Regions from separate parts of the Mus musculus genome. Here regions 1, 2, 4, 5, 6 and 7 are each reported to be linked to region 3. Evidence: microRNA targets listed by miRTarBase, many of them from high-throughput screens and not tested one by one. Region 3 holds a microRNA gene; each other region holds the end of a gene's coding sequence.
The links. Region 3 holds the annotated microRNA mmu-miR-717 (CUCAGACAGAGAUACCUUCUCU, at 2,563-2,584, opposite strand). A microRNA usually pairs through its seed, bases 2 to 8, with sites in the 3' UTR of a target mRNA and lowers its output. Matches are read on the target gene's strand: a 7mer-m8 pairs with bases 2 to 8, a 7mer-A1 pairs with bases 2 to 7 and ends in A, and an 8mer does both.

Region 1 (4,258 bases), not on the chromosome of region 3:
ACAGTCAAAAAAGAATATAGATTTAGTTGAATAACTTTATTAAATGGCACATTTTGATATTGGTGTATTAAAATGCCTCATGACTCAAACATTTTCATGACACTATAATGACAAGTTTTAAAAACTAGACCACAGAGCCACAGTTACTGTTATAATATGGAACAAGTTTTGTCTACTAAACATTCATACTCAAATTGTGATTCTCAAAAGTAAAACCCATGTATCATCAAAATAAAGCACTTCAAAGGACAGAACACTGACAAACCCAGTATCTACTGAAATGAAAGCAGAGTACATTATAGGAAAGGAACTTTTTGAAAAAGTAATGAAATGTACTTTATATACAAAGAAATTTGAATACAAAGCAATTTGTATATGAAGTAATATACTTTGAATAGTTTACTTTTACCCATTATCCTTTAGAATTGTGAATGATAGTTCTGGTTTGGGGGAAGACGTGTTCTTATTAGGAACATGATACAGGTTATTAGGAGTAAAGGAACTTTATAGAAAGCTTTATAAAATGTTATGTGTTCTAGTTAATCAGCAGCCTAAAAAGAACAGCTAATATAGTCAAAATATTTTAACAGTGCTGCCTATTCTACAGGGGTAACTGCTCTATCAGTGTGATTACAGTGTAATAAATGAGTATTTTGTCATCAGAAAATTTAGCTATGTTAACAATTTTTCTCATGTTTTCCTGCATGTATGCATGTGCTTCATTGTGTGCCTGGTACTTGAGGTAGCTAGAAAGAGGGCACTGAATCCCCCTAAACTAGAGTTGTAGATGATCGTGAGCCTCCGAGTGGATGCAAAGGACCACACCCAGGTCCTTCTGCAAGATACAGTGCCACCTCTCCAGCTTCAAATAGCCACATTTTTTTTTTTCGTTTTTTCGAGACAGGGTTTCTCTGTGTAGCCCTAAGCTGTCCTGGAACTCACTCTGTAGACCAGGCTGGCCTCGAACTCAGAAATCCGCCTGCCTCTGCCTCCCAAGTGCTGGGATTAAAGGCGTGTGCCACCACTGCCCAGCTCAAATAGCCACATTTTAAAATAGTGCAAATTTCAACATCTTACATAAAAATATTTACAACAGTCAGAGACTGAGAAGCCAGATTGAATCAGTTTGAGCCAGAACAGCTAAGTTGAACCAGCCAGAGTATAGAAAGAGCTAGAAAGGGTGAGCTTGTTCAGCAGTAAGTCTCAAAAGATGAAAACATTCTAGGCCTAGATAAGATTGTATGGAGGCTGGAAGCTTCCAGGACCTCACCTAGGTTAGCAGACAGAGGCAGTGAGCCTGAGATGACAATTACATCAAGTGAATAAAAGATCATTTTACAGTCTAGAGGTGGAGGTTGTCTAAGGCTGGAGTTTGTAAGAGTGTACTGGGTTAAATAGTGTTCCTCACAAAATTCCTATCTATCCAGAACTCCAGAATGCATTTCTACTTGAAAACAGGATCTTTGCAGATGTAAGTGGTTTAAGACAAAGTACTAGAATCCTTCTGATGTGGTGGTGCATACTTTTAGTCACAGCATTTAGAAAGCAGAGGGTGGGTATCTTAACTCCAGGCCAGCGGGGGATGGCTCCAAGGTTAAGGGCACTAGCTGTTCTTCTAAGTACCTGGGTTCAGTTTCTAGAACCCACGTGGTGGTTCACAACCAGATTCGGGAGATCTGACCCCATTTTCTGACTTCTGTGGGCACCAGGCATACAGATGGTATATATTCATTCATATGTAAGTTAAAAAAAAGAATGGTTCAAATAAATGCTATTTACAAAAGAACTAAGTGAAAATAGTTACACAAGAGAAAGAAATGACCATGAGAAGATGAAGGTGTAAGACTGCAGTGCAGCTCTAGGTATAAACTAAGAAGTAAATGTCAAGGACTACTGGCAACCAGCAGCAGGGGTGGGAATGGGGTGTGTGGCGGTTTTGCCCAATCCTCCAAAAGCCAGATTTGAGACATCTGGCCTCCTAAACAGTGAAAATATATTGGTTGGTTTAATCCATTAAGCAAGCAGTAGTTTGTAGCAGTGTAGCAAGCTAGCACATGGGAATAGGAGTGACTACAGTAAGTACAGGGCTTCTTTCGGAGGAGTTATGAAAACACTTGAAAAATACAATGATGACTGTACACAGTGCATATAAACATACTTTTTAAAAAAGATTTATTTATTATATGTAAGTACACTGTAGTTGTCTTCAGACACTCCAGAAGAGGGCGTCAGGTCTTGTTACGGATGGTTATGAGCCACCATGTGGTTGCTGGGAATTGAACTCAGGACCTTTGGAAGAGCAGTCAGTGCTCATAACTACTGAGCCATCTCACCAGCCCCGCATATAGACATACTAAAAGCCACTACATTAGTACAGTTTAAATGGGTGAACTGTATGCTTATGAATTACATCTCAATAAAGCTGTCTATACATAAGAACTTGACAGATAAATCCTGTCACTTTTCAACTTCACTTTTAATTTAAACATTTTAGAGTCTGTTCTAACTTCCATTCAGAGAAAAATTTTAAATGGAAACTTTCACAAATTTAAGAAATATTAATGAACACACGTAGAATGAATAAACAAAGCAAATCTATTTAAGTTAAAAATATTTAATATCAGATAAAAACATTGATTGACAGTTTAACATGGCACATTTCATACATAGTCAAAGGGCAAAACATTACTGAGAAAAATTAATAGGCCGTTTGGTAATTTGTTGTCCACATAAAAGCAATGAATAATGATATACTTAATGCCAATTATTACAAAACTTTTAGAGAAAACTCAGTTACCTCTAACATGTTCTGCTAGGAGAAAAGAAAACTGTATTTTTTAAAATCCATATGCTACTGGGCTACAATTATCAGTGCTTTTCTAGTAATCTAGAAATTTCTTCCAACAGCTTTTCTTCTGTTGGTCAATCGTTCCTACTGATTGGCTCTCGCATAGAGAATGAGGACATAGAGTGCTTTTTACACTGCTGAGTAAAACCATATGAATTAATGATGGGTGCTAAGCTTAATATTTTATACAAAAATGTATAATATTTCATTTAATTGGACTGAATATATTATTTCATGAGTAACTGGGTACAGTTAAGTCCCAAAAATCTGAGAAGTTTTGTGAGAAAGTGTGTATGTTTAAGCCATTTTTGCTTACTTTAAAATGGAATAATTTGGCACTAAATGAAATAATGAAGACAAGCAAAATACATAACACTATTACAGTTACTCTATCAGAGTTTACCATCTCCGACTATAATTCATACGATTACTTAGTTCTTGACCAAACAGAAACAAAAAGCCCTAACTACACAGCACTTACACAATTAGGAAAATAGAATCTAGAGCTAAGCTGGGGCTCTTTCTCTGATGAGCATGCCCCACTCTGCCACAATCAGTTATATATTTGCAATTCACGTTTTCAAGAAGTGCTTGTAACTTTTCACGTTTTCTGGCTGATAGGTTCTTGGATGGCCAAATAAAATATGATCTTTGAATTAAGTAAGGAGATCCAGATAATATAAACTGTTATCTTATTGGAATCTTACTTTATCAAAATACCAGATCAGAACTTCATAACCGAACTCTTGGAATAAACCACTGGTGGCCATATCTCTAAGTTTCAGATGAGTGGAAGTCCATTCACCATTCATGTTTCAAGGGTCTCTTCATTTGCTCCACAAGTATCAACAACACAAATTAGACAACTTGTGACTGGGAAAGCCCGGACTTTTGAGTTGGCGATCCACTTATCTGTTTCAGTATTATACTCAAGGATATGCCCCAATCTGCCTACACCCTGAAAACCTGCCAGGACATAGATGACAGAGCCAACTGCTGCACACTTCACCGTGACACCCCTCCATGGCATCGGTGACACCATCTTCCATTCATTTAACTTGATATCGTAATATTCCACATTGTCCAGACCACCTTCAAAAGAACAACATATGAGAACTTTATTTTATTAGTGATTGCTGGATCTCTTCATAGTTTCTAAAAGTTTTATATTTTAGTTTCAAAATAAAATTGTTAACCACATAGAAAGGATATAAGAGCTTTATGATCATTACCCACACGCCCACTACCTAAATATTTATTCTTGAGAAATTTTCAGAAATATTTTTTCTACAAAGTAAAAAAAACAAACAACAACAACAACAACAAAATAAACCCTACACATTTCCTACAAATGTTCCATCCTGGAAAAGAAAATTAAAAAGTATCAGTGATTTGCTTTGATTATAAATT
Region 2 (4,211 bases), not on the chromosome of region 3:
TGCTAAGCCTTAGCCATGGTCCCAGCTGATGCGGTCATCCCACACTGAGCAGCACCAGAGCAGTTTGAGAGCCAAAGTGGTCTATACAAACACGTGCCTGCAGTTATGGCCCAGCTGCTGCCACCTTGTCCTTGGTACCATAAGATATCATGGAACGCCCAGTTCCACACAGCTGCCAAACTGGCAAGTCAGTAAGTCCAGCAGTCCCCAGACTCCCTCACTGTGGAAAACCAATGTTGTCGGTTGTAAGAGTTAATACATTATTTATTCCACACAAGAGGCAATGATCCTCCCGAGAAAAGTCTTTAAGGCATCTATGACATCTGGGAATTTTATATTTAGTTAGCTGGTTTTTCACTATATCAGTTCTGTATAGTGAGCATAGCTCAGAGGCCTTTGCTGAGCTGCTTCCTCTGCTGGGCTGGCAGGGGAGCTCTGGAGCTTCAGGTGGCTCTAGGGGCTGATCCTGAGGGAAGCCAGCATCTGTGAGGGAGACATTTACATGCTGCTGTTGCTTCCTCTCCTAAGCATTTGGCAGTTCAGCCACTTTTTCTCTTCTCCAGGTAAGGAAATCCTAGATGGGGGCCTGTCTTCCACCCCTTGCCTGCAAACAAGACTAGTACAGGAACGGTTCAGTATGGGGGATGGGCGCAAATTGGGCGGGGTGGTGAGATTCCACACACCCAGCTTCATGAAAGACCCACTCAAGGAGAGGGAGGAAGCTGATGGGTAGTCAGAAACAACTCATGGTTCTGAGGTAGAGGACAGAAACATCATGTGGACCCCACTCCTTGGAGAGAATATGGCAGATGAACTGAGCAGTCTAATATTCAGACTGGACTGAATTGGCTACTGGGGTGGAATAGGCCCGAAACTCGTGTTCTAACACATCACTGAGTGAGACACCAATGAAAAGACAACTGGAAACAAGGGAGTCCTCAGTGTAGGCACTTAAGCTTGTGGGACATTGCTGTGTTAGAAGATCATAGCAAACTAGTGTAAGCACATGGTCTGTACCTCTATCTTTAAAACCTTAATGATACACTGTACAGCAGTCATGATGAACAAGAGGCAGGTAAAAAGCTAGGTGAGTATAGCAGTGTTAACTGATGCAGCAATTATGTTTCAGTAAACTTGATTCTTCCTGATTGGCTCATTCACAACCAACAACTTTTTGAATGAATAAATGAAGTTTTGCTGCTAGTTCTTAAGGTAGTGATAAGACCGAACAAGAACAGGTAAGCAATTTCATGGTGAAATCTGGTCAGCATGGAGAGAGCACAGGAGAGACACACAGTAAGTCTGGTCCTGGCCAGGGCAGTGTACAGCAGGAGGGCAGCACAGTGAGCATGGCATGGTCTGGGGGATTGCGGCTGTGGAAGAAAGCCTGAGCCACATCTACAGCATGGCTACCAATGCTCAAGTCACACAGCCCCGTCAGCCACGGGGATGACTACAATGACCTCTGAAGGAACAGAAGCTTGAACCTACATATGCTTTAGGCATCATCTGCAAATTGTAAGTACAGTTATAGGCAAGGTTGTTACTGAAACTGGTGTGGTAGGGCAAGGACACAATGATCAGCGTCATCCTGCTTCCCTATGTGCCCTTTCCACCCTGGTTCATAACCATACCATTCCTACCTTTCCCACTAAAGAACCACGGTAACAACCTAACTCTAGGTCTTCGTGGCCCTTTTTAGGCAATAAAACCTGGAAACTGACTACATGCTCCTATAGTTGTTGGCCAAGACTGATTAAATGTTTCCATAAAGATTATATATGAAGTAAGTCACAGGCTGGGGGACAATGGCACTCCTCCAAGTAACTCTTCCTTTTAAACACTGTGTACAAGCTAATGTTAACATAAAAAGCATACATATAAATCACAGAAATATTTTTAGAAAGTAGCACACTGGTTTCTCAGCACATTTTATACATATTTAGGCAGTAAGATGTCTAACTCTACAGCAACAGAGAGCATACCACTATCCAAGGAAGAAAGTGATGCCAAAAGAAGTCCCTTTTATTCATACAGCCATACTCTATTAACGCAAGTATCGTAGGGTTATCAAATGTCTCAAAAAAATCAGTGCGAGTGATTGACAGTTAAGCTCTGACTATGACCAGATACTGTTCATCTCAGAGTCTCAGAGCAATTGTGGTTTTGTTTCTTAAAAACAAACAGAAAACCCAGTGGTGTAAGTTTCTCTTTCAGTGTGCAATATAATAAAATGAAAAAATTAAAATTCCCAAACAGAAACAACCCAAAACACTGGCCAAACTTTAAGAAGAAAGAGGCCCCGCATCCCAGGGGTAGAACAGGCGGCAGCAGCAGGAACCAAAGACCTATGCTTCGTAGCCTCGCTCATCATTTCAGACAGAGCTCTAAAACAGGCTGCTCATAGCTGGCCGGGGCCTTGGGCTGTTCAGCTCTGATGAGGCACAGCGCCACCCAGAACTGGTGCCACTAGCACTCAGCATGCAAGGCAAGGTTTTAGCAGGAAGGATGTGTCAGGGAGAGAGAACCTGGATCAAAGTCACAGCTATCTCCTTTCTTATCAGTATGAATTTCTTCCTTCTTGGCAGTTTTCCCTTTTAGATTAGTGTGTGCTGAGGTCCAGTCCAAGCTGGCTATCAGAACCACTGATGGAAGAGCATGTGATGGCATTCTTGAACATGGGTTTTTGAATTGGATTCACCAATGACACAGCTAGAAAAGTGCAGCACAGTCAAAGTGCATTTCTTCCACCACTCAAGTGGCAGCGACCGAGGACTCCAAAGACAGGACGCAGCAAGACGAGAGATGAGACAGCTGCTGGGTGTCAAGCTGCCACAGGCATTCTGACGCCCAGCAGCAGCAACATTGGTAAAGCTTTCAGTTGTTAAGGCCACAATTTTTCAGCTCTCATCTTTGAACCCTGTTAGAAAGATTTCACCTTTTTAAAAGGGCAGCTCACTAAAAATACAGCTTAGCTTAAAGAAAGAAAAGACTTGAGGGCAGAGGTTCCTATTCTCTTTATGAAAACACTGTGCATGAGAGGCCAGAGCCTCTTAGGGTAGCCACCGCCCTAGAGTGACCAGCGCTCATCCAGCAGCCGCTCTCTGCTCTGAGGGCTCTGTTCTGAGTCAGCCCAGGCAGGGAGACTTTGTGAATTCTCTGAGATGGACGCTACGTTACTGGAAGGGAACATTGTCTCCAAGTGTCCTTGTGTGCTGCTAGCCAATTCCTATCACATTTGTCACGCAGGTTAAACTGGCCTGGTCCAACCAGTGAGACATCTAGTGCAATAGACCACAGTCTGACACACTGACAGTCATACAGAATCATTTGTAACAATCAGGGATCACGCCATGGTCTTCTGCCGCAGGAAGACAACTGCCAGCTCTTGCTCTGGGTAGGAGGCAGGCCGGTGAGCAGAGCAGCTGCTGGGGAGGTGCCAGGGATGCAGGCCTGGGTCCTCCTGGGGGCCTCACTAAGAGACTCCACCCAGAGTCAGTACATCAAAGCAAATGTTGCAAACCCGCACAGGCTTGTTCAGGTCAAACTTTATAATAGGGATCTCCTTGGTTGAGCATTTATGGCAAAGAAGACGGCCGCAGTGACGACTGTGGAGACAAATAAAGAAGTGTGAGAGGCACTGAAAAGCAGACTGGTTCTAAATGGTCAGCCCGGTCTCTGGCATCTGCAGCCAACTCTGCCAACTACCAGCCAAGTCACACCAAGTCACACAATTTTTAGTTCTTAAGAAAATACTAATGAGTAGCTAAGCTACAGCAAACAGGAAGAAGTTAAGCACAGACGCTGTGTAGTCCTTGGCACCCGCTGAGGCAGTGATGAACCTTCGCCCCCAAGAAAGTGGTAAGTCTGAATGTTCCTCCTTCCTCTACTCTCCCTTCACACTGGGACCCCACTCAGTCAGTCCTATCATCTCCCCACTCAGTCAGTCCTATCATCTCCCCACTCAGTCAGTCCCATCATCTCCCCACTCAGTCAGTCCTATCATCTCCCCACTCAGTCAGTCCTATCACCTCCCCACTCAGTCAGTCCCATCACCTCCCCACTCAGTCAGTCCTATCACCTCCCCACTCAGTCAGTCCAATCATCTCCCCACTCAGTCAGTCCAATCATCTCCCCACTCAGTCAGTCCTATCACCTCCCCACTCAGTCAGTCCTATCACCTCCCCACTCAGTCAGTCCTATCACCTCCC
Region 3 (4,000 bases):
TTGCGGAATCATGCACATCCCAAAGGGACATTGTTGAAAGGATATGATGAAATCTGTACTTTCACAGAAACAAAACTCACTTGTTTTACCCCATTGATAGCTACCCCCACAACACACACACACACACAACACAGAAGAACAGAAAACAGGAAGGACCACAGCACTGCTCAGCACTCAGCCAGGCTGGGCTGCTGAGAAGGACGAGGTTGCACTTGGTCTCCAGAAGGCCGCAGCACACTGGATGATTCTGCTGCAGACTCACCTCCTGTTGGCTCTGTAGCTTTTTTTTTTTTTTTTTTTTTTTAACTGAAGCATTGCAATTGCTCACTCCCTTAAGGAAATGACTCATCTACTGTCCTACCTGTTTAAAACCAGCTTCCAGGATGGCCAGAATTGTTCAGTTTTCCAATTTTGAGGGTGGGGGTGGGGGGATGAGGCTTGCCTTTTGGAGAAGAGAGTTAAGGTAGAAAGAACTTTGGCCTGAATACCTGAGCAAGATAGCAAAAAACGCACAGACCTAAGAGGTTAATGGGCCAAGGTACCTTGTGTAGGGGATGGGGTGGGGGGGCATCATTAGTGAATGACTGGCACTCCATTTGCCAAGACAGACTTTAACTCCAGGCAAAGGAAAAGGCATAGCAGAGGAACCACACTGTGAATTCTGAGGCTTTTCGGCTTTTGTAATGAATAAATATCCAGAGGCTATTCTGCTTTCATAATGTAAAGGCTGCTTTCACCAGCCTCTGACTCCCTGAGCAGCCAGCATTTGAAATAGGCAGTTTGTACTCATTCATTGTCACCCTGGGAGCACATGGGTCCTTATAATGTTGGGCCATGGGGGTATCTTTCTTAACTTCTGCTCTCTTGGGCAAAGGGCCTTGAATTATCCACCCTTACTGAATATCCTTTGAGAATAAATCCGTTCTCCCTGTCACTACCAGGAGACATGGATAAGTGTCAGCTAACTACCCTGTGGTTATCACATCTGCCACCTTTTAAGTGCAATAAAAGAAATAACTTCCCCAGCTTGTGTAGCAATAGAAAACTTATAACACTGTATCCTCAAAAAACAGGATAGGAAAAGATAACTGCAGAGAGAGAGAGAGAGAGAGGGAGAGAGAGAGAGAGAGAGAGAGAGAGAGAGAGAGAGAGAGAGAGAGGGAGAGAGAGAGAGAGAGAGCTGGAAGATCAAAGCAATAGAGTTTTACTGCTAATGAGAAGCAACAATATCAAGTGCTCCTTTAGAAAGGTTTTGTATTCTCTGAATGGCTAACACTGTCACTAGTTTAGGTGTTTGTGTGTACCTTTGGCTATGCTCCAACAGGCAGCACATAAGCTGCCTTATGGCTAACCAGACAAAGTTGAACTAGTTGTTCTTTAGTTTCTATCTCCTTGGTTTGATCCTCCAAAGGCATCAAGAACTTTTGAGGGTCTTGTCATCATCCAAAGGTAGCAATAAATGGAAACATTGACCACTGTTTGCTGCAAACTATCTCTTCCAAGTATCTTTATGTAGTGTCTGTGTAGCTTGGATGCTACAGTGTCTCCACTCAGAGAAGTGAGCACTAGCAGTGATGGGAAATAAGTTACCCAGGTTCAATGTTGAGAATCTAGCCATTAGACCAAGAGATCACGCTCTTGCTTGGTTTTATTCTTGTAGTGCTAAGGATACATTTGAGTTCTCTAGGCTGAAAATGCTCTCTAGTAAAGCACCGCATTGCATTTGCAGGTGTTATCCAGCCCTCTCTGCCTTGCCCCATGGCAACTGAGGCTAGGGAATTAGACACAAATGCTGATCCTCTGGTTACCGCCATTGCTGTGAGAAATCAATGGTTCTGCCCTTAACTCATGCCTTTAACTGGCTTCCGTAAAATGGCAGTTGACCGACGTATTAGCTTGTAACTGAGGAGAAATCCCAGACTTTCCACAGTTGTTGAGAGCATATTCTCATCTTATCAGTTCATTGATCATGGAAAAGAGATTTAGAAACATATTCCCGAAGACAGCACGAAAGAGCAACTCTCATCATCACGCTGTCCCTCACCTAGGTGAAGGCAAACAATGCTAGATTTGCAGAGAGCCTATTTTATTGCCTAAAGTAATGTAAAATCTGCATGGTTACATCAGGATGAAACATTCAAAAGCTTTCTTCATATGATTAGTTTTGGAAAGTTCCTGTGAAATTAACACTCAATAGCGTCAATTCTTCCTTGTAGTCAGTCTTTCAATAATTAGGTCATCTATGTTTAACCTTTCTCAGGCTGAGACAGTAGGACCATATGTTCAGTGCCAGTCTGTGAAAGAATCCTCAAAACAGAACAAGAGACCAAATCACCACCTTTGTCCGATAGCAACCACTAACACTATTTTTATTGTGAATGTTAAAAAAAAAAAGATGACAGAATGTAAATTTTCTGTCATGTCTGAAACGAACCTCATTTGAATAATATTGCTTATTGCAGTTTCCGATGCTGGCCTGCAGACACTAATGAGGTACTGAGATAGTTGCTGGATTTATCACTTCTGAATCCCTTCGGAACGGAGAGCAGCTTCTATGAATTCAGAGAAGGTATCTCTGTCTGAGACTGAAAAATGACGGTACAGTGATAGCGGACAAGGAGAGAAGCTCGGACAAACTGACATCTGAGAAATGGCCTCAGCCTTCAAAGGCAGAGACGAAAGGTAAGGCTAATCTTGGAAATTCTGATGACTTACAGTCACTCACACAGACAGCAAAATGCACGAATTTGACAGTGAATTATTATTGCAGCTCAAAGGGAGAATCTGCCTCCAAGCTTCCTACCATCCATGATTAAATACTGACTGTATTGCTTCTTCAAACATTGTAGCCAAAGAAATGGGTGTGCCCAGATATTGGCATAGGTTAGGCTTTCAGTAGACAAAGTTACTACCTAAGGAAAGACCAAAGTAGACGTCTGAATATAATTCGATATTCAGGATAAATACCAGATAGCGTGAAAACTGTCTTTGAGGCTAGCTGGTGATTCAGCTCTGTGTCGGAGCAAACACTTAACATGCACAAGGCCCTGAGTTCCATCGCTGCAAAAACCAAGATGGCTCTCTGTTGTTCCAGTGGGTGGGGACTCAACAGTGCAAGTGGAATTTAATAGAGTTTTCAACATTGACAACACTAACAGGTAGAGCTTATACAAATATTCTCTTAGAAACTATTCTGTTCCTTTAAGTGTTAGGAATAGGAAAAGAGAAAAGGGGAAAAAAAACAACCTCATGTCTTTTAGTTCTTCATTGGGAAATAGTAGAGCAAGAGTCTCCATGGAGAGAGAATGAATTCAAAAATTGATTGTGCAGCTGGAAAAACAGTAGGGAGTAATACAGGATATTAAATAATATAATAAAAAACCAATTTAGGCTGTGTTTGGGGAACGAAGATTCTAGTGAATAGAGAATGGAAGTGTTTGAGAGAGCAATATAGAGTCATGGTAACAAGCAAGAACTTGGGAGTCAGACAGGCCCAGCTCTGAATCTGAGTTCTGAGACCTGCTGGCTTAGTGACCCCCTAAATGGAGCAAAAGAATCTTCTATGCTCAGCTTCCCTACCCTCTTGATGATGCTCAGTGTCCAGCACATGGCTTGCATGATGAAATGTGTAATAGACATTTGCAGAAACTCTTCCAGGGAGTTCCAAAGTGAGTCACAATGACAGAAGAAAGGGAGAAAGGGTGGTGATACAAAGAAATTTTGTACAACTTTCAGTGAAACGGTCTAAGTCAAGGTAGTAAAATTGTGGTCCAGGAAACCCTAACCCAGGGGCATGCTAAGGAGAGTCAGCAAAGTACACTAGCAAATATGGAAAAAGAAAACTGCCAGCAGCCAAGCAAGAGGGTAAGAGCGTGAACTTAATAGAGAGCAGGGTGGGTTAGGTGGGAGGAAAGGGAAGGGAGAAATGCTGTAATTAAATTACATTCTTGGAAATAAACAACAACAAAAGAGTATATGAGCAATTCTATTGTGGACTAAA
Region 4 (4,258 bases), not on the chromosome of region 3:
ACACGCCTTTAATCCCAGCACTCGGTAGGCAGAGGCAGGCAGATTTCTGAGTTCGAGGCCAGCCTGGTCTACAGAATGAGTTCCAGGACAGCCAGGGCTACACAGAAACCATGTCTTGAAAAACCAAAAAAAAAAAAAAAAAAAAAAAAAAAATCTAGTAAAAAGTAAAATCCCTGGAATCTACAAAGGTGACCCCAGAGACCACTCCCAGTAATGGAGGATACAGAGCCTGAACCAGCCATATTCTATAACCAAGTGACTTACAGTGGTAGGGTTGCAACATGAACACAGCTAATGCCCTTAGACCTACAACCTATCCTGCCAGAAAGATGTGCTGGGGCAATGAAGGAGAACTAATGTGGCCAACTAATGAGTGGTCTAATTCGAAGCCCACAAGAGAGGAAGCCCATGCCCAACACTGCCTGGATCATCAAGAACTGGAGTCTGGATAGCCAAGGACCTAGGGTAGGAAAAATAAGTCAATGAAATGATCCCTAGTGGTATTCTGCTATACTCAAAGATTGAGGCCTAGTTCAATAGTCATCAGAGACACTTTCCCTAGAAGCTGATTAGAACCAATGTAAAGACTGACAGCCATGCATGAGATGTAGAGAGAGCCCAAATTGGAGCACTCCATTAGGTCCCTCCCCTCAGAGATCTAGGAACCCCATGGAAGAAGGGGGAGGAAGAATTATAAGAGTCAGTGGGGTCAGAGACACTAGGATAATACAGCAAACAGAAGCAACTAAATAAGGGTCCTGGGGGTTCACAGAGACTGAAGCAGCAACCCTGGAACATTGGTATGTGCTTAAGTTATATCTGCATGTTATGGTTTTTGGTTGGTTGGTTTTTTGAGACAGGGTTTCTCTGTATAGCCCTGGCTGTCCTGGAACTCAACTGTATAGACTCAGAAATCTGCCTGCCTTTGCCTCCCAAGTGCTGGGATTAAAGGCACCACTGCCCGGCATGTTATGGTTTTTAGCTTGGAGTTTTTGTAGGACTAGTAACAGTGAAGTAGATATCTGGCTCTTGTCTGCTCTTGAGACCCATTTCCTCCTACTGGGTTGCCTTACCCAGGCTTGGACTGGGAGAAATGAAAGGAGAAGCTATGATCTGACAGTATTATAAGAATAAATTTTAAAATGTATATACATGAGCTTTGTGTTTTACCTTATTAGATATGAGTTCAAAAGAACCACAATAGTTAAATAGGAAAGGATTTATACTCTATATGCTCTAAATGTGGCCAAGGTGAAGGCCATTTGCCCACAAAAGTACATTTGAGGAGCTTGGGCCTGGACATAAGCCACAGAGCTGCCCTGACTGCTAAACTGATTTGCTTTTTAGCTCTCATTTATTAATTTAAGGCAATTTCATATATTGTATATGCACCCATGGGCCCTCCTTCAAATCCCTCTTCCTTGTGTGCCTATTTAGAAGCAGATGTTCTGGTGCTCTGGCTCTTAGGATGTATCTGCCTCTTCCACAAGGTTTCCTGAGGGTTACATGAGCTGTTATATTGTCAATGCATCAAGTGAGGTTTTATGACTGGAATGTAAACTTTCCAGAAATTGGGGGATTTAGAAATTCTCCAGAATCCTGTACATGATATAAATGCAACCCCAACATTTGCTTTCTCTTTTTCTAATAAAAAAATGAGAAAAAACAAAACACCTCATCCCCTTTGAGCTTAATGCTTCTATGTTTTGTGATCTTATTGAACTGCATGCCTGGTGCTAAGTAGTAGTCGCATGGCATTTCTTATGTCTACTGTGTTCTTAGTCTTTTCTAAAATATTTGCAATATGCTTCCTAAAGGAGCAACCTAAGTTCTCATGTCTCTGCACAGTCCTTGGTGTAATATTCTGGTCAGAGCCTAGGTGTCACAGAAGTCAAATGGTCAATGGAGTCAAATCTTATGTTGGGATATTAAGAAGTATAACTTTATGCCTTTCGAAGCAACATGAGAAAGCAGAGGGAACTAGACTGGCTAACCAAAAAAATTTGAGGCTTCATTTCTGAAAGTCTAGAATCATGAAAGAAAATGGCCTTGGATGGGCATTACAATCTACTTCTCTCAGTGTTCTCAGGTGCACACGACCCTCTTTTTTTAAGATTTATTTATTATATGTGTGTACACTGTAGCTGTCTTCAGATACTGAAGAAGAGGGCATCAGAATTTTTTTTACGGATGGTTGTGAGCCACCATGTGGTTGCTGGGATTTGAACTCATGACCTTTGGAAGAGCAGTCGGTGCTCTTAACCGCTGGGCCATCTCACCAGCCCCACACACGACCCTCTTGCAAATGACCAAGGAGGGGTTTCCAGAAGAGAGAACCTGTTGAATGTCAAAAGACATTTGTGTGCTCTCTGAGACTGGAAGAATATTCAATATTTAAAGCTGTTTTATGTTGGAGACAATTAAAGTTTTTTCAAGTGTGTCCCCAACATAAAACAGGTTTAAAATAAAGGACGTGAAAGAGGGGGAAACTCACTTTCCTTTTTTTCAGGAAAAAAAAATCCCTCTCTGAACGATGAGAGCCTGTTTGTTGTTGTTGTTCTATCCCAGTTGGTAAATAATTATTTGTTTAGATCAAATAGGGATTCAAGCTTTTATTGATCAACAAATCTGCCTACAGTAGATCTCTGTGCCTCTGCCTGACGTCATTAACTTAGAATCACACAGATACAGAATATTTAAATGGTGCTGGAACTCTGGGAACTCTGCATCCTGAGTTCTAGGTCTACACTAGATCCAAGATTCTAATTAGTAATTCTCACAAATATGCAAAAACAAAAAGCAATAACTACTTTGAAAGTAAATGTTTGGCCTGGTGAGATGGCTCAGCAGGTAAGGGCACACTGACTGCTCTTCCAGAGGTCCTGAGTTCAAATCCCAGCAACCACATGGTGACTCACAACCATCCATAGTGAGATATGACGCCCTCTTCTGGTGTCTAAAGACAGCTGCAATGTACTTACACATAATAAATAAAATATTTTTAAAAAAGTAAATGTTCTAGGAGGAACAGGTGGACCACAGATAAGAAGCAGTCACCCATCTTTTACATTTAATATCATTTTATATTTTTTAAATTTATTTATTTATTATATGTAAGTACACTGTAGCTGTCTTCAGACACACCAGAAGAGGACATCAGATCTCATTACAGATGGGTGTGAGCCACCATGTGGTTGTGGGGATTTGAACACAGGACCTTCAGAAGAACAGTCCCTTAACCAAGAGTCAGTGCTCTTAACCTCTGAGCCATCTCTCCATCCCTTAATATCATTTTAACATGTCTTAGTTAGGGTTTTACTGCTATTAACAGACACCATGACCAAGGCAAGTCTTATAAAGGACAACATTTAATTAGAGCTGGCCTTCAGGTTTAGAGGTTCAATCCATTATCAAAGTGGGATCATGGCAATATCTAGGTAGGCATGGTAAAGACCCAGATGAGAGTTCTACATCTTCATCTGAACGCTGCTAGTGGAAGACTGACTTCCACACAGCTAAGATGAGAGTCTTAAAGCTCACACCCACAGTGACTCACCAACTCCAACCGGGCCACACATTCTAATAGTGCCACTCCCCTGGCCAAGCATACACAAACCATCACAATAAAGAGGGGACACATTATCATAGAAGTACTAGAAAAGCACTAGCATACTGGATTCCTATGATTATGTGTAGACAGCAGAGAAGAAAGGCCTGACAGCACAATGGAAAGTTCCAGGAGAGTAGCTGAGTATGAGGGAACTCTTGGCTACATCCACGAAACTTACATATCCACCCTCACAATCAAGGAACACGCCAACTTGGCCAACTGGCTTCTCTATATAGTGTTCACCTCCTATGCGGGTGATGAGAATGTAATGATCGTCCTTTCTCAAACACTCAAGAAATAGATCTGTGGGTGTCGCCACATAGCTTCTCCCCCTTAACCAGGGATCCTTACAGACTCCTACAGTCCACCGCCTATAGTCCTTCAAATCCACCTCCCAGTAGTATTTTCCCCTGGAGAAGCTCTTTTTTCCCCAGGAAACACGATGGGTTTCAGCTGAATCCAGAGATGTGCTTTCATGGAGAAGTCTGATATCAAAAGGTCTGAGTGAGGTGTAGCCGAACATGATTGAATGTTTAAAGGAAATCTTCACTGTGGGAAGAAAAGCCAACATTTTAGTTAAACCAACTGTTTACAGTTGTCAGGTGAATGAGGTCCCTAGAGATTTCCTGGTTTTAAAAATAGAAAGGC
Region 5 (4,242 bases), not on the chromosome of region 3:
TTGACTTTGCAAAGTCTGTTCTTGGACAATGTCATGGAGCTAGGTTCCTGTTGTCCTTTCATTAGGGCCTTGGAGAAAAGCATTGGATTAGCCTGGCTCTCAACAGTGGATATTTGGTTGAAAAACTGAGGGCAGTCAGAGAAGTGTTAGCTTAGCCTCTGAAGGGCAGTTCATATCCAAGAACCAATGTGGGCTTTGTGTGTTCTTTGTTGTTTCTTGGGTTTTTATGTCATCCTTGCACGGGACCCAGGCTTATCTTCACTGTATCATTCCAATGTTAGCAGATGTGTTGCCAAATGTAAATGTGTTTTGCCCACTTGTATATCTGTGCACCACACGTGTGCCTGATGCCTTTGGAGGCCAGAAGAGGGCACTGGATCCCTGGGAAATGGGATTACCAGTGGTTGTGAGCCTCCATATGGGTGCTATGAGTCAAACTTGGGTCCTCTGGAAGAGCAGCCAGTGCTCTTTAACTGCTGAGCCATCTCAGCAGTCCCACAACTTGTTCTCTTATGCTAATAGGATGCACTGCTTATGAGACCCAGAGGAAAGATTCTTCTCTTTCCTTAATAATTTTTTCTGGCCTAGAAAGAAAAAAATCATGAAAAGAGAGAAGACAATCACTAAAAATAACTCTCAAGGGCTGGAGAGATGGCTCAGCGGTTAAGAGCACTGGCTGCTCTTCCAGAGGTCCAGAGTTCAATTCCCAGCAACCACATGGTGGCTCACAACCATCTGTAATGGGATTCAATGCCCTCTTCTGGTGTGTCTGAAGACAGTGACAGCGTACTCATATACATAAAATAAATAAATAAAACAAAAAACAAAAAACCTCTCAAAACTATACCAAAGCCTGATAGTAGAATTTTAGAACAAAAATACTCAAAATTACAATAAAGAATCAAAAGTACTCTTCCAATTTCACCAACTGCTGCAGACTGCCATTAATAAAACTAACCAGTACATGCAGAATGCTGCTCTGGGAAAGTTTTTCTATATGTTCTAATTAGGGAGAGTTTTAAGAGATAATTTAACTAAGCATGTTGCAAAAATAGGGTTAAAGTTGGAAGGCATGCTAAATCTTATAACTACTTCCAGAAAACACAAGTTAGTTCTCTTGAAGGAACAAGTCTGGGCCCAATTACTCATAATGGGCTGCCTGGCATAATAGGACCTGCTGCACTGATTTGGGTCTGGCATACGCCAACATTCTCTTGATGACCTCCCTTTACCTTTTTATACCCACAGTAATGAAATTATAATGATTGCTGAATGAAATGAGTTTATAGTGAGGTCTCATTAAACTTCCTGTACTATCTGCTACACAGTTGGGAGCAAACGGTCTCCTTGGACCTGCTCCTGAAAGCTGGAGGTAGGCTGTAGTAAACTCACAAAAAGAAACATATCTATCATGCTGCAGTCAATTATCTAGCACTTGGCCCACTGAGAGCCTTGCTGGATGCTGCCCTGTATTCTAAGACTCATGCTATAACCAATGAATTTTCCAGAAAGGGCCATTATAAAGTCTCGGGAAAGTTTATGTTAATCTACAACCCTAGTCAGTTTTTATATTAACTACCCTTCACATCCATTTTATGTGCAAAGTCATAAAAAAATTAGAGAAAAGGAACTGTATGTCATGAAGTCCACTAAGAAGATTAATGGATAATAATAATCAGTTGTATACTTACAGAATCTCAAGATGCAACTGTAACCAGGATTGTACTAGTGTAACAGTTCTACCCACTACCACTAAGTTATGAAGCTCATGTTATACACAACTTACATGACTAGGTCTCAAAACTTAAGAAATGTCATTACTATCTTCAAAACTTAATAGACAGATTGTCTAATCACTTAAGGGATATCTGAGGGGAGTCTAATGGCTGTAGATTATAAGATACACTACAATCCAACATTCTTTAATGCCTTTAAATTTTCACAAGTTGCTAATTGCTACTTGTGGTGGTTTGAATGAGAATTCCCCATACTGGCTCATGAATTTGAAGACTTGGTCCCTAGATGGTGGTACTGTCTGGGAAGATGTATGTGTCTTTCCTAAAGGAAACATGTCACTTGGTGGGAATGAGGCTGGGGGATGGGGGCGAAGTGCTTAATGCCTCTCCCTGCTTGTAGGTTGCCGTTCTATGCTCGTGGTAAAGGATGTGAGTTTTCAGCGTTCTTGCTTCTAGCCACCACACCAGGATGGTCTATCTCTGGAACCAAAAGCCCAAATAAACCTTTCCTTAAGTTGCCTTGGTCATGCTGTTTCTTTTTTAAATCTTTTTTTTTTTTTTTTAGATTTATTTATTTATTATATGTAAGTACACTGTAGCTGTCTTCAGACACTCCAGAAGAGGGCGCCAGATCTTGTTAGGGATGGTTGTGAGCCACCATGTGGTTGCTGGGATTTGAACTCTGGACCTTCAGAAGAGCAGTCGGGTGCTCTTACCCACTGAGCCATCTCACCAGCCCGGTCATGTTATTTCTTCACAGTAAAGCAAGAAAAGTAATTAAAAGTATATTGCGTAATGCAGCTCAGCTCTAACAAGGAGCCAGCACAACTCTTAAGAGGGCAAGGAAAAGGAACAACTCCTAAAACCTTAAGCAATGCAGCAATGTAGTATTAGTGTTCTATCTTACCACATAGGTTACATGCCAGCGCCTATGGCTTTGGTAGAATGCACAATATCAACCTGTAGACTGACAGAGGAAAAGCACAACTACTGTGGCTCACTTCCTGCTCCCCAGCCCCCCCCAACACACATCCCCTTCTTATAGTACTTGTATATAGTATAGTTTAGCATAGTACAGTACTTATCTGACTTGTGGACTGATGCTGCCTATCTAAGCTGCTTGGGGGTTTAGAACAGTGTCCGGCTGACAGGAACAAACATTATTCATTATAGAAGGTACAAAATTAAGGCATTAAATGTCTGGTTTATTAGCACTTATAAAGCTAGATAAATATAAAACATTAGCAAAAAAGTGATCAAAAGCATAATATCTAAGTTGTACTTTTTCTCACTGTTAAAGTTCAGTGTTCAAACTAAAAGCACGAGTCTTTAAACTGCAGTGTTCATTTTAGACTGTTTGCCCATAGCCAACAGGTCAACACTACATTCCTGAACTATACTCAGCTGTGGATTTTTACCATGACCTGTGTGAAACTTTTTCCAAAATATAATCTAGGTCACAGACCCAGGTTTGGGAATGTTTTTCGTTTTTGTTTTTTTTACTTAGGCTAAAGGTTGTTGTGACTCAATAAATAATAGGTCCTCAGACCTAGGAGTTGTGCTGGTTCCTTGTTAGAGCTGAGACTGGAAAACTGATAGAACCCCAGAAAACTCTTCACATGATGCTGAGGCCCCTAGGATGTATGCCACTCTTTTGATGCTTTATTTTTATACTTACTGCTGGTCTGTATTTTAATCATCATTTTTATGGTCTCTGCTCAATGGTGTGGTAAGGAAGAAAGGTGTGTGTGTTGGGAGTGTGGCAATACAACAAATTCACCCTTAGGTCCTAAATATATCAAGTCCATTCTTTATTGCCCTGAACGTAAGGAAGAAAGGTCTAATGCCACTGTGTGGGGGTTGAAATAAGTACCAAAGGAAAAGCAGTTCCCTCCACCTCCAATAAGCAGGAGCTGCTGCTCTTCAGGAAGGAGGGCGCTGCTGTGGTTGTGCAGCATTAATGGCCATGGCACAGACGCTGTGTCAATCTGATATTCAGAGCTCAACCCTGTAGTCAAACAGATAACAGTCACTCCAGGAACTGAGGAGGAATGAATCCAGACCCCTCCAACCAGAAGCAGCTTTCCATTAAACACATGAGCCGTGTGAGAGTACCTTGGGGTAATGGAGGGCTGGATATCTATTGATTCCCAGAGGAATCCAGAGGACACTGGTTTGAGAAAGAGTACAGAGCTCAACAGTTCCTCAGAAGCCCCAAGACCTCCAGCGATAAGTGCTCCCCCTTGCCAACTGCAGGCGCTATGGGAATGCCGACCTTCGGGTGATGCGCCTTGTACTGGGATTCTGACCCAAGCCATTGTCTCTACATGTAGAAAACGACAGTCACTTAGTACAGGTTCAGCCACACTTCGGCCACCATACACAAATAAGTATCTTTGATTCTGATAGTATACTTCCGTTGTTGAATGCCGCCAACATGACAACACTGAACCTTCTTCCAAGGCAGCCTTCGTTACTGTTACATTTTGGCCCTCAGAGCAATTAT
Region 6 (4,258 bases), not on the chromosome of region 3:
GCAGATTATAGGTTTGGAAGATGGTGAGCCCCTGTTTATCAGAGCAGACTGACTGCCGTGTTAGTCAGGGTTCTCTAGCATAACAGAACTTACAGAATGCGTTCCTCTCTATGTATAGAAAGGGGATTTATTGGAATGACTTACACAGGCTGTGATCCAGCTAAGCCAACAGTGGCTGCTTATGAATGGATGGTACGAGAAACCAGTAATTGTTTAGTCCATGAGGCTGGATGTCTCAGCTGGTCTTCAGTAGATGCTGGAATCCCAAAGAAGTAAGCCCTAATGGCACTGAAGGAATGGACTTATTAGCAAGGTGTATTCCTCAGGGTCACAGAACTTATGGAATATCTCTTATACTGAGGAAATTTATTATGATGACTTACAGTCCGTAGTCTTAACTCCCCAACAATGGTCAACTGTGAATGGAGAGTCCAAGAATCTAGTAGTTGCTCAGTCCCACGAGGCTAGTTGTTTCAGCTGGTCTTCTGTAGAAGTAGAGTCCAACAGATGTGCTGGCAAGTAAGTGCAAGCAGAAGAAGAGGAGCGGCTCTTCTTCCAATGTCCTCATGAAGGTCTCCAGTAGAAGGTGTGGCCCAGATTAAAGGATCCACCACTCCTGGATCCGGGACTTGTTTTGTCCCAGGCTGCCAGAGATCTCCTTGCCCTTAGTCTCCTGGGATTAAAGGCATGTACTACCTTGCCTGGGCCTAAGCTTTTCGTGGCCATTATGTCTCAAAATCTCTGTACCAAGATCCAGGTTAGAAACTTGTGTCTTCCAGCCTCAAGATCTGGATCACAGGTGAGCCCTCCATTTCTGAATGGTAGTTCATCCCAGATATTGTCAAATTGACAACCAGGAACAGCCACTACACAAGGTGAAAGCAAGCAGGCAAAGAGGGAAAGTTTCCTTCTTCCAGCAGAAGGTGTGGCCCAGAGTAAAGGCCCGCCTCAAAAGATCTGGATTGGGCCGGAGAGATGGCTCAGTGGATAAGAGCACTGGCTGCTCTTCCAGAGGTCCTGAGTTCAATTCCCAGCAACCACATGGTGGCTCACAACCATCCGTAATGAGATTTGATGCCCTCTTCTGGTGTGTCTGAAGACAGCTTCAGTGTACTTACATATAATAAATAAATAAATCTTTAAAGAAAAAAAAAAAAGAAGTGGGTCTTCCTACTTCAAGTTGAGCAAAAATCCTCACAGGTATACCCCTCCATTTCTGAGTTTTAGTTAATTCCAGATGCAGTTGAGGTGACGACCAAGAATAGCCATCACGTGCCGTGCAGCTGTGCTGAGCTGTTCTGCTAAACTTAGAGTGGTCACTAAGATCACCCTCTATTGCAATCCTTTGTGGCCACCCACCGCCCGACTCTGTCCCCTTCCCCCTAGTGGCAGGCACACTTGCTGGACTTGACCTCAGACCAATCATGTTGGTTATGATTCAGTTGCTGTGAAAAGACGCCACGACCAAGGCAACTCTTACGAAAGCAAGCATTTAATGGGATTGCTTACAGTTTCAGAGGGCTAGTCCATGGCCATCATGGTAGGAAGCAGAACATGGTGGAGCTGGAGGGGTACTTGCGAGCTTCACATCCTGACCCACAGGCAGCAGGCAGTCAGAGACCCTGCCTGGGCCTCTCATGGGTTTTTGAAACCTCAAAGCTAATCCCTTGTGATAGTTCCTCCAACAAGGCCACACCTCCCAACCCTTCTAAAACAGTTCCACTCCCTGATGACTAAGCATTCAGGCCATTCTCATTCAGACCACTACAGCTCCTCTCTTCTCGACAGATCCCCACCCCCAGCAGTATGCACCTCTCTTCCTTCTCCATCCAGGATGGGAAACACTCCAGACTCAGCCTCAGACAACCTGGGCTTCCGCTGCGCCTCCAGTGCAGGCCGACCGAAGGAGGACCTGTGAGCAGCCAGACCGAGATCTCCGAAGCACCCTCTCAGCACTGTACCTCCGTGACCATGTTCCAGAGGCAGCTGGCTACCAAGCTCATGCGTCTGAGGGTGGCCTTTTGAGCCCCTCCCCTCTGACAGACACAAAGAACACTCGGACTGCAAGAAGGGACTGCAGTAGCCTGGAAGATGAGGACCTGGATGACCAAGGCTGGGAGCTGGGCTGTCTCTTAAGTGCAGTATTAAGGACAAAGGAACCAAACCCTCCAGTGTCCAAAAGATGACATTTTTTAAACTCTCTCCCTTTTTGCTTTCTCCCTGGCTGGTTCAGCTTTCACTTCTGGGAAATTCTGCAGAAGGAAAATGCTTCCTTTGTGAGGTGTGCCAAAGCCTTGCTGCCAGAACCTAGCCTCGCTGGCCTCTGAAACGAGATACTCAATATGTGGCAAGGCTGGTCTCGAACTCTCGATCCTCCTACCTCAGCTTCCTGGGTCCTGCTGGGATTACACACCACGCCCACTATTTAAAAGCCCCAGTAAAGCAAATGATTTATGAAGTGAAGATGTGCATTGTGGGAGAACCAAAGTCAGTGCCCCTCTAGGAAGACAAATGCCAGAACCTTCTCTGAGAGTTAGCTAATCATGTAGGGCCTTCTGTGTATCCTGCAGACATGTCCCTGAAGAAGAACTGGATCTTATGAGGTCAATAAATCCTTTTTTTTTTTTAAGATTTATTTATTTATTATATGTAAGTACACTGTAGCTGTCTTCAGACACACCAGAAGAGGGCATCAGATCTCGTTACGGATGGTTGTGAGCCACCATGTGGTTGCTGGGACTTGAACACTGGACCTTTGGAAGAGCAGTCGGGTACTCTTACCCACTGAGCCATCACACCAGCCCGAGGTCAATAAATTCTTATGTATATCAGGAAGCACAATATAATTGTTGTTTGAGATAGGGTTTCATGTAGCCCAGGCTAGCCTCAAGCTCCTTGTGTAGCCACAAATGACCTTGAACTCCTGCTTTCACTTCCTCAAATATCCATAACTTTAGCTAGACAGTTATGAGCGCCTGTTCTTGCTGAGGAGGGGTTCAATTCCTACCACCCACAAGGTGGGCTCAGCTATCTATACAACTCCAGTTTCAGGGTTTCTGATGCCTTCTTGTGACCTCTACAGGTACTGCATGCATGTGGGTTACATAAAATGCATGCAGCTAAAACATACATAAAATGCATAAATCTTAAAAAAAAAAACAAGAAAACTATAGACATCAACAAAGGTGCACAGTAGAGAAGCCAGAAGGCTTATAGCTCCCAGAATACATGTGCTCTATGCCCTTCCATTTCTGCCTATCACGGTCTCAGCTGCGTTGGATTTATTATTTATTTATTTATTATCTATTTTAGCTGTACCAGAGGTTGAATTTGGAGACCTTACACTCACCACAGGGTTACATTCCCAGCCTCATTTTTATTTTGAAATAAGCATCACTAGACTTCCCGGGCTGGGCTAGAACCCGTGATCCTACTGTCTCGGGGCAACAGGCACATGCCACAGCACATCCAGCTCCAGCTGTAATTACTGCTGTTTACTGGGAACACCCTGTGCTTCTAGAGGCAAGCCTTTGAGAGCACAGAGTAGGGCCACCTATTCCTTTGCAGAAGGCTACTTGGGGCATCCTCTTCTCACAAGTCCCTCTGTCTGCTTTCCCCTGGGCCCCCGCTGCCCTTCAGAAGTCCTCCTCCTCAGCCAAGGAGAGGAGCACAGCCTTGGGCGTGTTCTCGAAGAGGGCGGCTCTGTTCTGCTGTTGCCCTTTCTTCACCCAGTGGCCGTAGATACGGAAAGCATAGGCGTCAATGAGCCTCCGCAGCGGCCGAAGGGCGTAGGGGTCTCGGATGACGATCTCCCTGGTTACCGGCTTCACCCGACGGTACTGGTAGTAGATCTTTACTGATGCCAGCACAGTTAGACAGATCACCTGCAGGGGGCAGCACTTAGAACCCTCAGCCCGCAGCAAAGCTTGTCGGGAAACCTTAGCTGGCTTTGGGGGTGCCCTTCATGATGTCCCCTATTCCCAGGCTACAAGCATCTGTAGGGATTTAGGTAACAGGGTCGGTTAGCTGACATCCCCTGCAACCAGAAATTGAATTGGAACAGTGGGTACAAGGCATTCCCTCATAGCTTAAAGCTCTGAGAGCCTGGTGCCAGCAGGAGCCAACAGCAGCCTCCCCCAAGAGCCTTAGGGAAGGTTAAATTTCAGTACCTTGAACTTCCCTCGGGGGCTGAAGTGCCGTACTTCTTCTACTACGTACTCCTGAAAGAAAGGGTGTGCCAAGGCCTCTTCCGCCGAGC
Region 7 (4,258 bases), not on the chromosome of region 3:
GTTCCCAGGATTCATAGCTGGATGGAGAGTGATGACTCCTTCCCCACCCCCATCCCCACCCCCACCCTTTTGGAGGCAGGAGCCTAAGGACAGAAGAAAGCATTGGATTCTAAATGTAGTTAGAGGTGGTTGTGAGGTGTCATGCGGGTACTGGGACATGAACCCAGATCCTCTGCAAGAGCCGTAAGTGCTCTTAACCACCAAGTCATCGCTCGGGCCTCTGGTTTTATTTTCAAAAGAAGTGAATTCATTTATACTCTGGACACTGTTAGGATTCAGCTCGTCCAAATTTTCATTGACCTTTCCCATAAAGAATATATGGTAGAGACTGACACCAACCAGCTAAAACTTGATCACCTGTTATAATAACAAGGTTACATAATGATTCTGTGTAGTCGGAAGTGGGCTAGCACTACAAACTAGGCCCTTGAGGGCTGGAGAGATGGCTCATTGACTGCTCTTCCAGAGGTCCCGAGTTCAATTCCCAGCAACCACATAGTGGCTCACAACAATCTGTAATTGTATCTGATGCCCTCTTTTTGTGTATCTGAAGATAGCAACAGTGTACTCATATAGATAAATAAATCTTAAAAAAAAAAAACCAAAAAACTAGGCCCTTACGTCTGTCAGAATCCTCGGACCTTCATAAAGTTGTGTCCCAGATCTCCCAGGTCCAAGCTTGAGGTAACAAACATTTGCCTGGCTTACACTGTTTAATCAGAGGAATTTTTTGTGTTTATCTTCCTACTAAATTGCTCAGTGATCATGGATATCACCAAATGATTTAATTGAATTTTACTTTTATTTTTCATTTTAGAGGAAATCTTTAAAACAATGAAGACAAGAGGTCTGCAAGGGACCACAGCACTTTGCAGGCAAGCAGGCCAAGAAGCCCTGTCAGTCCTCAGGTTCAGCAAGTCCTAGTGTCCTGAAAGCCACAGAAGTAAACAAGAGCTGCCGGCAGCTGAACAATCGCTCAGTAGGTTTCAGACTGATGCCATTGCCTGGCCAAGAAATTTTATTAGAAATCTGTCATTTAAAAAAAAAAAAAAAAGTGGAGCCAGGTGGTGGTGGCACACACCTCTAATTCCAGCACTCTGGAGACAGAGGCGGAGAATCCCTGAATTCAAGGCCAGCCGAAATGCAGAGTGAGTTCCAGGACAGTCAGGGCTGCACAGAGAAACCCTGTCTCAAAAACCTAAAACCAACCAAACCAAAGTGAAAAGAAAAGGCAAGAAACCCGTGAGGGCTGAATGGATAGATGGCTCAGAGGCTGAGACACTGACCGCTAGTACAAAGGATTGGGGCTCAGTTCTCAGCACCCACATGGTAGGGTAGTTCACAAGGGATCCTGCCCTATTCTGACCTGTACCTTTGGAGGTCAGAATGACATGCATACATACTGCAGGCAAAATATCCATACACAAAAACAAAATAAACCTAACAAGAAGAAAAGAAAAAGATAGAAAGCTGGGTCATTTTGTTTTCAGAGAATCAACATATGAGTTTTTCTGTGCAAGTGCAAGTAAATATGTATTATATGTATACCATATTTTATATATTTATATATGAAGGCACGTTTGATTTAGCCTTAGCTATAATATAGCAAAGCAATTTAATTACCCTAAATGTCCACCAGAAAGGACACTGGTTAAAATCTCAGCCTAGGGCTGGAGAGATGGCTCAATGGTTAAGAGCACTGACTGCTCTTCCAGAGGTCCTGAGTTCAATTCCCAGCAACCACATGGTGGCTCACAGCTATCTGTAATGAGAGCCAATGCCCTCTTTTGGTGTGTCTGAAGACAGCTACAGTGTGCTCATATACAATAAATAAACCTTTAAAGAATAAATAAAGTAAAATAAAATCTCATTGAATCCATTCCACTGAACATGTAGCCATGAAACAAGGCACTGTGTAGATCCTGCACCCGAGGCTTTTTGGTGACCAGGACAACTGAGTGCTAAGAGGCTGGAGCTGAATTTCATCCCATACACGCTATTTTGAAAAGCCAGCCAAAGCAGTGTATCGCTGTGTGTATATAACAAAGATTGGGGGGGGGGGGGAATAAAGGGGAATAAACTACAGGAATAAAAGAACTTCAGCCTTTGTGTAGCGTCTGTTTTACCTGGTGGTAATATTGGACTGTCCATGGACTATCACAGTCCGCATGGTAAGAACTTAACTGCAGACAGTGTAAAGGTGAGCTTTCACTCTGTGAACAGCATAACGCCACTTGCTGATGCTCCCAGGGGTTCATCAGGAAGGCCCCTTTCCCTCAGTTACTTATGAAGGCCCACCTCAGGCTAGTGATGTCATCTAAAAGTCCAGCCTCCTATGGAGGGAAGCTTAGATGATCATTTGCAAGGATCGTGACCACCTTCCTCCTCTATCACTTTTAGGAGTGGCTACTCGTGCATTGCCTACCCCCCCAATGGATAATGATACTGTACCCAGCACTACCTTGACTCAGAGTTAATACTATATACACAGACATAATTTTTTAAAGATGTGGGGGTGAATACATGCCACAGTGGGCCAGTACCGCAGGAGCCCAGAAGAAGGTGTCAGATGCTCTAGAACTGGAGTTAGAGAAGGTTGTGAGAACACAACAGAGCGCCATAAAGCAGACTCAGGGCCTCTCAGAGCAGGAGTGCTGTTAACCAAGGAGCTCCCTCTCCAGCTCTCTCTCTCTATAATTTCAAAATTAAGGCATGAAGTTGCAGAGGAGAAGAGAGGAAGGTGATGGGGGAACGTGATCAAGACACTGCGTACATGTATGTAATTTTCGAATAATAAAATTGATAAGAATTCCAATATAGAGTTCATGATAGAGCTAACCAGGGTCAGGATAACTTGGTGATCAATATTCTATATTGAGATCTGCCAAGATACAGTGCCAGGCCAAAGACTGTCACTTAAAACAAGAACAGTTGTGATATTAGCAGGGCCTTGCTCCAGAATCCAAAAGGCCTGCAACTGCAGATTACCATAGGGCCTGCCAGATGTCCGGTATGGAACCCATCTCTGCCATCACAACCTCCAACACCAACCCCTGGCTCTGCTAGCCACATGGCCAGAGTGCCAGAACAGCTTACACGGCAGCCCGGGTGTGGGTATGGACGTAGTAGGTTGTAGGTGAGGCTGAGGGATTCAGGAACATCCGTTTCTAACTTCTAGTCTTGCTTCTAGGTTCTATGGAAATGCTGCCAGTGTGCCAGAGTTGGGGACTGGCCGATTAGGTGAAACCCTGTTGGCTCTCACAAGCAGCATTAAGGGGAAACTATACCACGAAACTGTCAAGAGACATACAGGTCCGCAAATTTTCCCTTGCCTGCAACCTACATTAGTCAGGTACAATTTCAATGCTGGCCAGCAAAATCAGGCTCCTGAAGAGCAGGAGTTATTATACTACAGCAATTAGGATGAACAATGGCCTCACCTCTGTCAGTCTGTCTTTGTCCCAAACCCTGTGGTGGGAAGGACAACAGTGTGGGCTCAGCTAGATGCATACCGACTCTATAGTGTTATAGATAGGAACTCTTGAGAAACCCGAGTCTTTCCTTGGCATGCCTTCTGTTTACCAGACTGCTGTGCAGAGAAACAGCATCTCTGTCTTCCAGCTCATGCCGAGAAAGGTGCGATGGGACATGCTGGAGCGACACATACGAAAATGACGCAGTTAAGCCCATTTACTCTGTATGCTATCTCAGTGGGACTAAGTTGTTTCTTAGTAACCTACTGAATCTGGGTTTCACAGACATAAATTACAGGATGCCTTGCTATTACTCGAAGGAGTCCTTAAAGTTCACACAGAAGCTAAACCAAAAGTACCAGCGACAGATGAACACCCTTCCTGAATAAGACCTTTTGAAAGGAATATTTGCAAAATGGAAAGACGGGTCTCTCTATATAAAGATCCTGGAGGATTCTATCGCAGATATTTCTTTTACCTCTAGTTTGAAACAGTATAAAGAGCAGTTGGATTATGAGACTGTAAGGTAAGAATTTGGGGAGAGTAGAAGAGCTGTCTGAGAGGAACACTTTATAAAGTGTTGTGGTGGCTACACTTTGTAGTCAACTAGGCTCCATCTGGAATGAAGTCAACTCCAAGTGCATGTGTGCATGTGAGGGGTTTGTCTTAGTTAAACCATTTGAAGTGAGAAGACCCATCTTTAATGTGGATCTGAGATGGGACGATCCGCCTCTAACCTGGACCACACCTTCTGCTGGCTGCCTATATATAGGACATAGGAGGAA

Region 1: miRTarBase lists Klhl7 as a target of mmu-miR-717. Seed matches in the 3' UTR shown: 8mer at 2,206-2,213.
Region 2: the mRNA of Ankfy1 is a reported target of mmu-miR-717. Seed matches in the 3' UTR shown: 8mer at 2,375-2,382 and 7mer-A1 at 830-836.
Region 4: the mRNA of Trim43b is a reported target of mmu-miR-717. Seed matches in the 3' UTR shown: 8mer at 3,134-3,141.
Region 5: the mRNA of Lcmt2 is a reported target of mmu-miR-717. Seed matches in the 3' UTR shown: 8mer at 2,341-2,348.
Region 6: miRTarBase lists Phkg1 as a target of mmu-miR-717. Seed matches in the 3' UTR shown: 8mer at 2,670-2,677.
Region 7: the mRNA of N6amt1 is a reported target of mmu-miR-717. Seed matches in the 3' UTR shown: 8mer at 1,794-1,801.

What each region holds. Positions count from the first base shown.
Region 1 is chr5:24,159,129-24,163,386 of GRCm38, reverse strand. Klhl7 (kelch-like 7) reads right to left here. Exons shown (of 11, transcript NM_026448.3): 11 at 2,156-3,940. The coding sequence ends at 3,657. Among named protein-coding and RNA genes, the nearest start is that of Nupl2, 3.7 kb to the left of the region's middle.
Region 2 is chr11:72,766,910-72,771,120 of GRCm38, reverse strand. Ankfy1 (ankyrin repeat and FYVE domain containing 1) reads right to left here. Exons shown (of 25, transcript NM_009671.5): 25 at 1-3,608. The coding sequence ends at 3,476. Gm46287 (a long non-coding RNA gene) reads right to left here. Exons shown (of 4, transcript XR_001780259.1): 4 at 3,615-4,006. Among named protein-coding and RNA genes, the nearest start is that of Gm46287, 4.1 kb to the right of the region's middle.
Region 3 is chrX:52,419,899-52,423,898 of GRCm38, forward strand. Mir717 (microRNA 717) reads right to left here and starts at 2,617; the gene lies at 2,509-2,617. The region is part of intron 3 of Gpc3 (glypican 3); the gene reads right to left.
Region 4 is chr9:89,081,558-89,085,815 of GRCm38, forward strand. It overlaps Trim43b (tripartite motif-containing 43B), which reads right to left. Exons shown (of 7, transcript NM_001170884.1): 7 at 3,067-4,159. The coding sequence ends at 3,687. Among named protein-coding and RNA genes, the nearest start is that of Gm40542, 3.8 kb to the right of the region's middle.
Region 5 is chr2:121,134,993-121,139,234 of GRCm38, forward strand. Lcmt2 (leucine carboxyl methyltransferase 2) reads right to left here. Exons shown (of 1, transcript NM_177846.3): 1 at 2,300-4,242. The coding sequence ends at 3,548. It overlaps Gm23858 (a small nuclear RNA gene), which reads right to left and starts at 304; the gene lies at 199-304.
Region 6 is chr5:129,860,806-129,865,063 of GRCm38, forward strand. Phkg1 (phosphorylase kinase gamma 1) reads right to left here. Exons shown (of 10, transcript NM_011079.3): 9 at 4,170-4,258; 10 at 2,626-3,884. The coding sequence ends at 3,636. Sumf2 (sulfatase modifying factor 2) reads left to right here. Exons shown (of 9, transcript NM_026445.2): 9 at 1,834-3,146. The coding sequence ends at 1,918. Among named protein-coding and RNA genes, the nearest start is that of Sumf2, 16 kb to the left of the region's middle.
Region 7 is chr16:87,366,648-87,370,905 of GRCm38, forward strand. It overlaps N6amt1 (N-6 adenine-specific DNA methyltransferase 1 (putative)), which reads left to right. Exons shown (of 6, transcript NM_026366.2): 6 at 818-2,002. The coding sequence ends at 924. Among named protein-coding and RNA genes, the nearest start is that of N6amt1, 15 kb to the left of the region's middle.